Linked DNA regions of Oryzias latipes. The protein of the gene in region 1 interacts with the protein of each later gene in a pairwise test. Links are inferred from orthologs where the notes say so. Each region holds a gene or a part of one and is shown in the gene's direction. Other genes may lie near its edges.

The links.
Region 2: the proteins of bag4 (region 1) and putative bifunctional UDP-N-acetylglucosamine transferase and deubiquitinase ALG13 interact in binary tests that used the Homo sapiens proteins (3 or more experiments, as listed by UniProt). The link is inferred for Oryzias latipes from reciprocal best matches to the Homo sapiens genes BAG4 and ALG13.

What each region holds. Positions count from the first base shown.
Region 1 is NC_019867.2:18,633,432-18,638,041, reverse strand, and holds the start of bag4 (BAG family molecular chaperone regulator 4), read left to right. Parts: upstream 1-1,515; 5' UTR 1,516-1,687; coding exon 1,688-1,777; intron 1,778-2,315; coding exon 2,316-2,435; intron 2,436-2,635; coding exon 2,636-2,851; intron 2,852-3,347; coding exon 3,348-3,617; intron 3,618-3,709; coding exon 3,710-4,171; 3' UTR 4,172-4,610. Other genes in the region: U6 snRNA-associated Sm-like protein LSm1, read right to left, coding at 497-612, 743-811, 922-967. UniProt on the Homo sapiens protein: Inhibits the chaperone activity of HSP70/HSC70 by promoting substrate release. Prevents constitutive TNFRSF1A signaling. Negative regulator of PRKN translocation to damaged mitochondria.
Region 2 is NC_019859.2:214,958-218,777, reverse strand, and holds part of putative bifunctional UDP-N-acetylglucosamine transferase and deubiquitinase ALG13, read left to right. Parts: intron 1-48; coding exon 49-130; intron 131-220; coding exon 221-386; intron 387-452; coding exon 453-507; intron 508-1,924; coding exon 1,925-2,042; intron 2,043-2,409; coding exon 2,410-2,474; intron 2,475-2,543; coding exon 2,544-2,644; intron 2,645-2,719; coding exon 2,720-2,802; intron 2,803-2,879; coding exon 2,880-3,147; intron 3,148-3,230; coding exon 3,231-3,338; intron 3,339-3,623; coding exon 3,624-3,771; intron 3,772-3,820. UniProt on the Homo sapiens protein: Catalytic subunit of the UDP-N-acetylglucosamine transferase complex that operates in the biosynthetic pathway of dolichol-linked oligosaccharides, the glycan precursors employed in protein asparagine (N)-glycosylation.

The sequences.
Region 1 (4,610 bases):
TGTATTTATATGGAAAGAGCAAAGATTGACAATCCTCACCACTTTTCCCACCCGCTTTTCTTTTATATCATATTGAAAACCAGGAGAGAAAAATAAAAAATCTGGCTAGACCAAACAGCAAATTTGAAAAAGTTGTAAAATTAAGCCTTTTTTGTTTTTGCTAAGTAACCTTAACATGGAGGTACCTTTACAGTCAATGTGTGCGCAATTTCCTTTTTAAGCAAGTATTCATTTAGGCAGCAACTTTTCAAAAAAAAAAGTTTATAACTGTAGTAACTATATAAAGTAACAATTTACTTGCATATAAATTTAACTTGATCTTTAAATAAGAGTCACATCATTTTCTGCAGTGCGAGACCTGGATGCTTGACCACATTCAGAGTTTGATGTTTGGTGCTGTACGGAGCATCTGAGAACAAGTTCACGTAAATAAAACTTGATCCAGAAATTACATTCAAGTTTAGAACAAACTAAAAAATTGCTCTAAAACACTTACTATTTCCCCAAGCAGGACTACATTTTCTCCCCTGACGATGAAGATACCTCTGGGAATATCTCCAAATTTCTTTCCCACGTGGATACGCTCCACCGTCTGATGAAAGACTAAATTGGCTGTGGAACAAAAAAAAAAAAAAAAGAAAGAAACAAACAAATTTAGGACTATTGAAACACCGCGTAATCATATAAAAATAAAAAAATAAACCCGCATGGAAGAGTTTAGAAGATTCTCATTTTTTATTACCAAACTGATCGATGCTTCTCAGGTAACCGATTAGTGTTCTGCCATCTCGCAGCAGGACCAAGTGCTTTTCTGCGAAATTAAAAACATTTAAAAAAAATCTGCGTCCACACGGCACACGCTAATACATTGTGTCGTTTGTTTATGATTAAAAAAAGCAATTTCTATAAGGCCCAACTTACTGTCAATATCGTCAATGAGACTGGCCGTCCCTGGTACGTAATTCATGTTTAGTTGCAGTTTTCACGCGTTTAGTTGATTTCTGAACCATCAAGCCATGAATGTTTTTACCCGTTTCTATTTGACGGTGCACAGGAAGTGCTTTTATACACTTCCTGTAAACATTTAACCCCTTCCGCACCGTAATTGCGCATAGCTCGAATTTTCTAAAAATAACTGTGTAAAAATGATTTAAACAAAAGTATCATACATTTTATGATACAAAAAGAATTTTCTATAAAACATGTTTGGATTAAATGTCCCCATTTGATGATGGATGGTAACCCTTCCAACGCATGTGCCACATCAAAGATCGTAAATGAAAATTTTGAAAAGTTGCGTCACATGTTTAAAAAATACAACTGCTACAGGAGTAATTCAATAGTTGGTCTTAGCAGTAAAATATATTGAAAATAAATATCTTTAATTAAAAATATTCTAATTGTGTTCCCCGTTTCTGCGTTTTGCAATTGTAAGGTTTCATCCAGCAATTTCGATCAGAAAGTTTTAGAGAGTGACTCCTCTTTACTTGTAATGGTTCTACTCGACTTAAAGACGCAGTACCATGTCTCCAGAGTTCCGCGTCATTTATTCATTTCTTGGTTGCAATCAGGCGATCCTGACTTCTGCGGGGAAGCTGCTGCTTTGATCAGCTGTCAGATTTCTAGCGGAACCGTAAACTAGTGATAGTCTTGCTTATTTTGGAAGATGGCAAAATACGTGTAACTGATGCAGAAACCCCAAATGCAGCCAAACGGGAAAACTGGCTGGCCCTCTACTAACTCGGGAAATAGTCACGGAAGCTGCAGTAACACTATGGTAAGCGAGCAGATTAATTAAAAAAAACTTTACTGGGGGGAGGGGGTGACAGATCATATTGTGCTTTAAAGAAACAAAGATTAATTTAAAATCTCCCAACAATAAAATCCGTTTGTTCGTTCGTGCAGAAGTTCTTCGCAATGTTCATCATGCTAGCTTCATAGCTAATATAGCTAGCGGGCATTATGTAATAGTTACTGCTAGCTTATTAGTTAAGTCCTTGTTTTTAAATTACATTGACTCGAAAATATCGATTTAACACAACACTTCTGCACGTTAGGAGATCGTAGCGATCATATAGAGTTTCATGAGTTAATCATTGGTTTAGCTCAAATTATTTCATTCATTTAAACACAAGTTAACATCCATTTATTTAGTTTTCTAGAAAGACACGAGTATATGTTTATCAATGCGTTTATCATTTAAGTTTCTCAGCATCAAGTTCTCCATATCTCTATTTGAGATTTAGGATAGCTACACAAAATGGGTTGGATCACATAAAGTGAGTCGCTGTCTCGTGTCAACTTGCCTTTTACAGGATGCTCCTCAGTATCCAAGTTACCCTCCACAATACTGGTATCCGCAGTCCCACTCCACAGGGCCCTACGCAAATGCCTATCCTTCAGCGTCAGATCTGCATCCGCAGTACAATCCACAGGTACATCTCACTATACGAGCCATTCCTTTCCTTCAACATTTTAATATATTGCTCACTGTTTTGATTCTCATCAATTTCCTCATCTTTCTTTTGCACAAACACTCATAGTTGTGGTATCAAAAGTGCTGTTTTCACAGAGTGGTCAATTTCCTCTCAGGCTTGTCCCTGTTTTTCTTTTTTTACTTATTTTTTATTTTTAGGTAATGCCAGGAGGATATCCGAACGGCCATGGAGCGTACAACCATGCACAGAGTCCGTACCCGGCAAGTAGCTTCCACCCATCCAACCCCTTCTACTGTGCTGATCCAAGGAGAGCAAGTCCAAGTTCCTATCCGCACCAAGGCTGTCCGGCAGATCAAAGCAGCGAGCCGCCTCACGCTCAGCATCATCATTACACTGGTCCACACTGTCAAGGGGTGAGTTTATTTACGCATTAATGAGACACTCACATTACTTACAAAATACTTAAATAGAAGCAAAAGGTTCTTGGTTTAATATTTCAGTCTTTTTACTTATTATTATTTATATGAGTTTGCTAAAACAATCTTATGGAAGCTTGACGTATTTAAGGAATCAAACAAATCATTTTATGCATTTGACCAATCGGATGGACGCCTTCACATTGTTGACCAATCGGATGGTGCCCTTTTATGCTAGACGAGGGTTTACTTTAAAAAAAAAAATTTAAACCGTTGCAGTGAAATGGAAATGATGTTTTTGGTTGTTTTGGTGTGTTCACGTATCACCGCAAGTTATATCGTCATCGCAATATTGATCATCAATATCGCATATCACAAGTTTTCCTTATATCGAGCAGCCCAAATGTGTTTAGAAAGCACCAAAATGAGACATCCATTTCTTGTAATGTTACATTTTTGAGAATAAACATGTTTGTCTTGTTTGTGCTCTCAGGGTCCTGGATATCCTCCTGGATCATACCCACACTACAGTGAAGGTGGACATGCAATTCACTCGAATTCTCCTTACCCAACCGGCCAGGCTCTTCATCCTAATTCCCAGGCTGAAGCATGGGGACACCCCAGCCAGTATGCCCACTCACAGCAACAGTGGCAGGGAGGTCAGCAACCTCCCCAAAATCATTACGGGAATCCCGTCCGTCCACCTCATCCTCCAGCGTGGCCAGGAACCGGGACTGGTGCCCCACCACCCTATCAGCCCAAAGTAAGGCTCTGCAGCTGACGTGCATTGTGTAACAATTATTCAAGAGTCCGTAAGGAGATAAAAGCAAATATGTCTATCTTGTGTTGTTTCAGGATCAGCATCACCAACGCCCTCTGCAGGTGGGGCCTAAACCCAGGCCAACACCACCCCCTAATGGAAAGCCTGCTGAAATAACTTCTCCTCCACAAATCTACAACAAAACAGGGAGAGGTGATACTAACACCTCACAGGCTGAGCCCCCCCCATCAGCCCCAACCCAAGCTCCTGCACCGCCCGCAGGTCAGACCAGACAGCTGCCCTTGAGTGATAATCCAGGCCTTGCCAAGGTTCAGCATGTGATGACCAGAGTTCAGCTACTTCAGGAAGATGTTGACGAGTTTGTAGGCAAAAAGACAGACAAGAGCTACCGCTGTCTTGAGGAACTTCTGACCAAAGAGCTGTTAGAGCTGGACTCCGTGGAGACTCAGGGACAGGACAATGTTCGACAAGCACGGAAAGAAGCCGTGCAGAGAATTCAGGCCATACTTGACCAACTAGAGAAGAAAGCCTTCTGAAGCGGGCTCAATTAACTTGCTTGTGGACCACCAAGTTTTCTTATGTTCTCTAAGATCTTCCTTGACAAAAGTCCTGCTCTGCAGAACTATAACAATGTTCTTTTTTCTACCTTAAAAACATTATATGAAGAAATTACAGACCGAAGGAAGAGTTAGATGAAATTTGAAGGGAACTTAAAATCAGACCTACACATGAATGCCATGTCTTTTGTTTTCAAATCTACTCCTAATACAGATAAGATTACGGTCAAAGTTCTGCTTTGTCTCCATTTATTTGTTTTCACACTTTCGCATAGAAAAAGATGAAATCATTGTTAAATTCATTTAGATGGCCTCACTTGTTTGTTTGTTTTTTCAGGTTAAAAAATTGAAAAAGTTTATTTTTTAAAATCTCAGCAGCATTTCATATTTCTGGTTTAGCAAAGTCTGTTTTTCCATG
Region 2 (3,820 bases), on another chromosome or scaffold:
ATGCCTCACACTGTGCTGTGATTGGCTGCTAACCCACTGTGTGGTCAGGTGATGCTGTGCTGCTCCATCAATGGTCACTACGACATAGTTTACCCGAGAAGTTACCCCGCCTCAGCTGCACTCTGCCAGTGTGAGTGTCCTCGTCATGCAGCGCTGCAGTGTGTGGAAACTCACCTGCTCAGGTGTGTGTGTGTGTGTGTGTGTGTGTGTGTGTGTGTAGCTCTGTTGTATGAGCTGCTGTACACGCAGGTGTTTGGCTTGGAAGAGGCGGAGCTTTTTCAGGCCATGGAGGCTTTCAAGGTAGGAAGTCGTCGCTATAGAAACAGCCCTTCTGTGTGCAGCGACGCCGACCCCAGCTATGACACACCTGATGACCGTGGACACAGGTACGTGCAGCAGCACACGCTTGTAGCTCCTCCCCCGCAGACTCTTCTTCAGCCTTTCTCTTGCAGGGAGGAGGCTGGCGGAGCAGGTGAGGAGAAGCCGTGCTCCGAGGAGGTGATGAAGGTAAAAACGGAGACGCGTGATGTAATAATTTACACAAGTGAACCAAATGAATCATTGCCCAGATTATTTGAATGTTTAAATACATTTGGATACCACGCAGGATAGAAGTTAAACATGGGGAAAACCCAAATACTGACTTTAAATTATGATCCACCAACCCACTACGTACCAAATTAAATCTCAAATGGAAAGGCATTGAATTACTTTAAGTCTCAGACTCTCCACTACAGGCGCTCATGGGAAACAAAGACACAGGGGAAAACTATGGATAGTGACACAACTGAAAATCTGGTCCCAAATAAAGGAGGAACACAGACTACACAATAACTTCAAAATTGTAAGATGATGCGCATACGACCATGATTTCAAGCCCAAGCAGTTAGACAATAGATGTCACCACTGGACAGTGCAAGGGTTAAACACATTACTCTTTACTCAACAAGGGAATAATGAAAGATTTCCAAACACTTAAGGATAATTATAACTTAGGGAAAAATGATTTTTACAGATATTTACAACTACATTAACAAAGAGGTCCTCCACACCATGGATACACAGGAACCAGTGCTTGGTGAAATATCAACAGCATGCAAAGGAAAATGTAAAAAAGGGTTTGATATCTAGACTTTACAAGGGATTTATGAGTAAAAAATGACCTCAACTCAATATATATAAAGTAAATGGGAGAAAGAAAGCAACACAACTACGACAGACGAAGAATGGAGAGATTGCTGTGTATCAGTGTGGAAATGTACAAATTCACAGCATGGAGAGAATTTAGATGGAAATGTTTGAAGTTTTTTATTACAACCAAACAAAAGAAACACGGCAATGGAGATAAAAACAAGTGCTGGAGGCAGAAGTAGAAACCAACCACAAGACACAACTCCCACCTACCAACGAAAATGTATTCAGAATATTAATAACTGCTGGTAAAAAAGCAGTGACTAGACACTGCCCCCCCCCCCCGTACCCTGCTTGGACAATTGGATAGACGTTGTAAATGAAATCTTTCAGATGGAAAGACTAACCTACTCACTTTGGATAGAGATGCCTACATTTTGGAAGATAAGGTCACAATGGCTGTTCTATGTTAATCATTTACTATTGGAGGTAATAAATATGTCTGGCTTATATTGATAACCAAGATGAAGGTTTTATTTTATTTTTTACTTCCCTCCCTCCCTAATAATGCATCCGCTGTTCCCTGTTTTGTGTCTTGTTAGATACTAAGTTCTGTTATTGAAAGAAAAGAAAAGAATAGTTGAGAATAGAGAAGTTATGGGTCCAAAACTGAATTTAAATGTACAGTTTTATAAATTTTTCAATACTCATAAATAAAATTTGGAGGAAAACAACAGACGCACCCACAGGCTGTGTGATGTCACATCCGCTGACTCTTCCTGTCGAAACGCAGCCTCCTGGAGAAGCCCCGCCCTCCTACAGACTCTCGCTGCCCTACAAAGTCATGAAGGCTCTCGATGGCGACGTCTACAGGAATCTGGAATTTGACGTGTGGCAGGACACCTGTAAAGGTTAGAACGGACCAGAACCTCAGTCATGTGACTGGACCACCTCCCAGCATGCACTGGGAGCTCACTGTAGTTTTCCGCTGTGATTGGTCACTTTTACCTTACATTGCATAAACCTGGTGTACCTCAAGCCAGATTGTATTTTCCAAGATTGATTCGTCTAACCCTACAGGCCGATTTGATTGACAGTTTGCCTAAGATCGATCTGATTAGTTAGATGTTATAGCGGACGCCACACGTCCAGAACAAAGTTCTGGTGGTTCTAGAAACAAACAGGGTTCCTGTTTGAGGTACACAGATGAACACAGCATGGATGTTCTGTTGGTTCCAGCTGCAGGTCTGTGTTAATCTGGAAACTGTCGACTCACAGAGATGCAGAAGACGGACTACATGGTGTTTGCCGGGAGGCAGTACTTCCTGGGAGACAAGTGTCAGGTGAGACCGCCTCACTTCCTGTCCTGGAGTCTGTAGACAGACTTCCTCCAGATTCCTCTTCCTCTTCAGGTGCGTTTGGAGCCAAAGGGGAAGTTCTACAACGCCTTTATCCAGGAGGTGGGAACGCACGCCGCGGCCGTCACGGTCTTCATCGAGGAGCTGGGAGAGAAGTAATATGCCGCCGCCCACTTGGACTGAACCAGAACCAGTTGGTCCAGCCTTTGACAAATGGATCTTTCATGCAGACACTTGGTTCCCCTGACTGATCTGAAACCAGTCAATCCAGTTCCTGCCTGGAATGTGGCTGCCCCCTCCAGGAAAGACCTTGGTAGGTCTGCTTCCTACTCAGTTTCAGACCCCCCACCACCACCTCCACCATAACCTGCCCCCGTTTGTGCTCCTCAGATCTAGACTCCCGTGGTCAACGCCACCACCGCCACCGCTACTTCAGAAAGTCCCGGGGAAACAACGTGGTGAAGGGGGCGGAGTTGTTCATGCCACCCCCCTCCTCTTATGGGGGCCCTGCTTCTTCTGTGTTGCCCCCCCGCTTTCAGCCTGTAGGGCAAGCACGCCCACCCCCACCACTGTCACCTGGAGCCTTGACCTACAACCCATATGCCCCCCAACATCATCCTGCCCCCACCGTCAGACCACCGAGATATGGATCTTCAAGGTGGGCCTGAAGCCCCCACTGTCACTTCTCCCCCCACATTGATGCAAACTGACGGTGTCTCTGTGTGACCTGGTTCCCGCCAGAAGCTCCTCTCGATTCCTGAACCGTCACCTGATGGGTCCACAGCTGACCTATTACCAAACGGGCCGGCGGTTCTACCACGACTACGAGAACTACCCCTTCAGGTCCAGGTGAGTGATATCAGCCAACACAGCCCCCGCCCGCCCGAGTGGCCGCCGCGGCCCCGCCATCAATTCCCCGCCGTCTGCTGGCTTCAGGACCACGGACAGCGGAGCCTCAGCTGATCCCAAACTCTGCTGATGGTTTTGAAAGTTGCTTTGAAATATTTAACTTTTCTGGGAAAGACCATCAGCAGGTTGTTGTTTTTTTCAGGGAGGGGCCATCAGTACAGCAGGGACCACTCCCCATTGTTAGATCACTTCTTGTATGGCTTAAACCCTGTTTCCTGTTTCCAGGCGCAGCCGGCGCCAGCTGGCGGCGGTTCTGAACAAGGATGGTCAATTTGGGTTTTCAGCAGAGGCGGTGGAGGAGCATGCGGACCTGGAAACGGCCATGGCGTACTACCAGCTGGACGACGCGGAGGCCGTCCTGCCCCCGCTGGCGGTGAGGAGCACAGTGGGGCTAGAGCCCAGAACTATTACGGGTTCCTTCT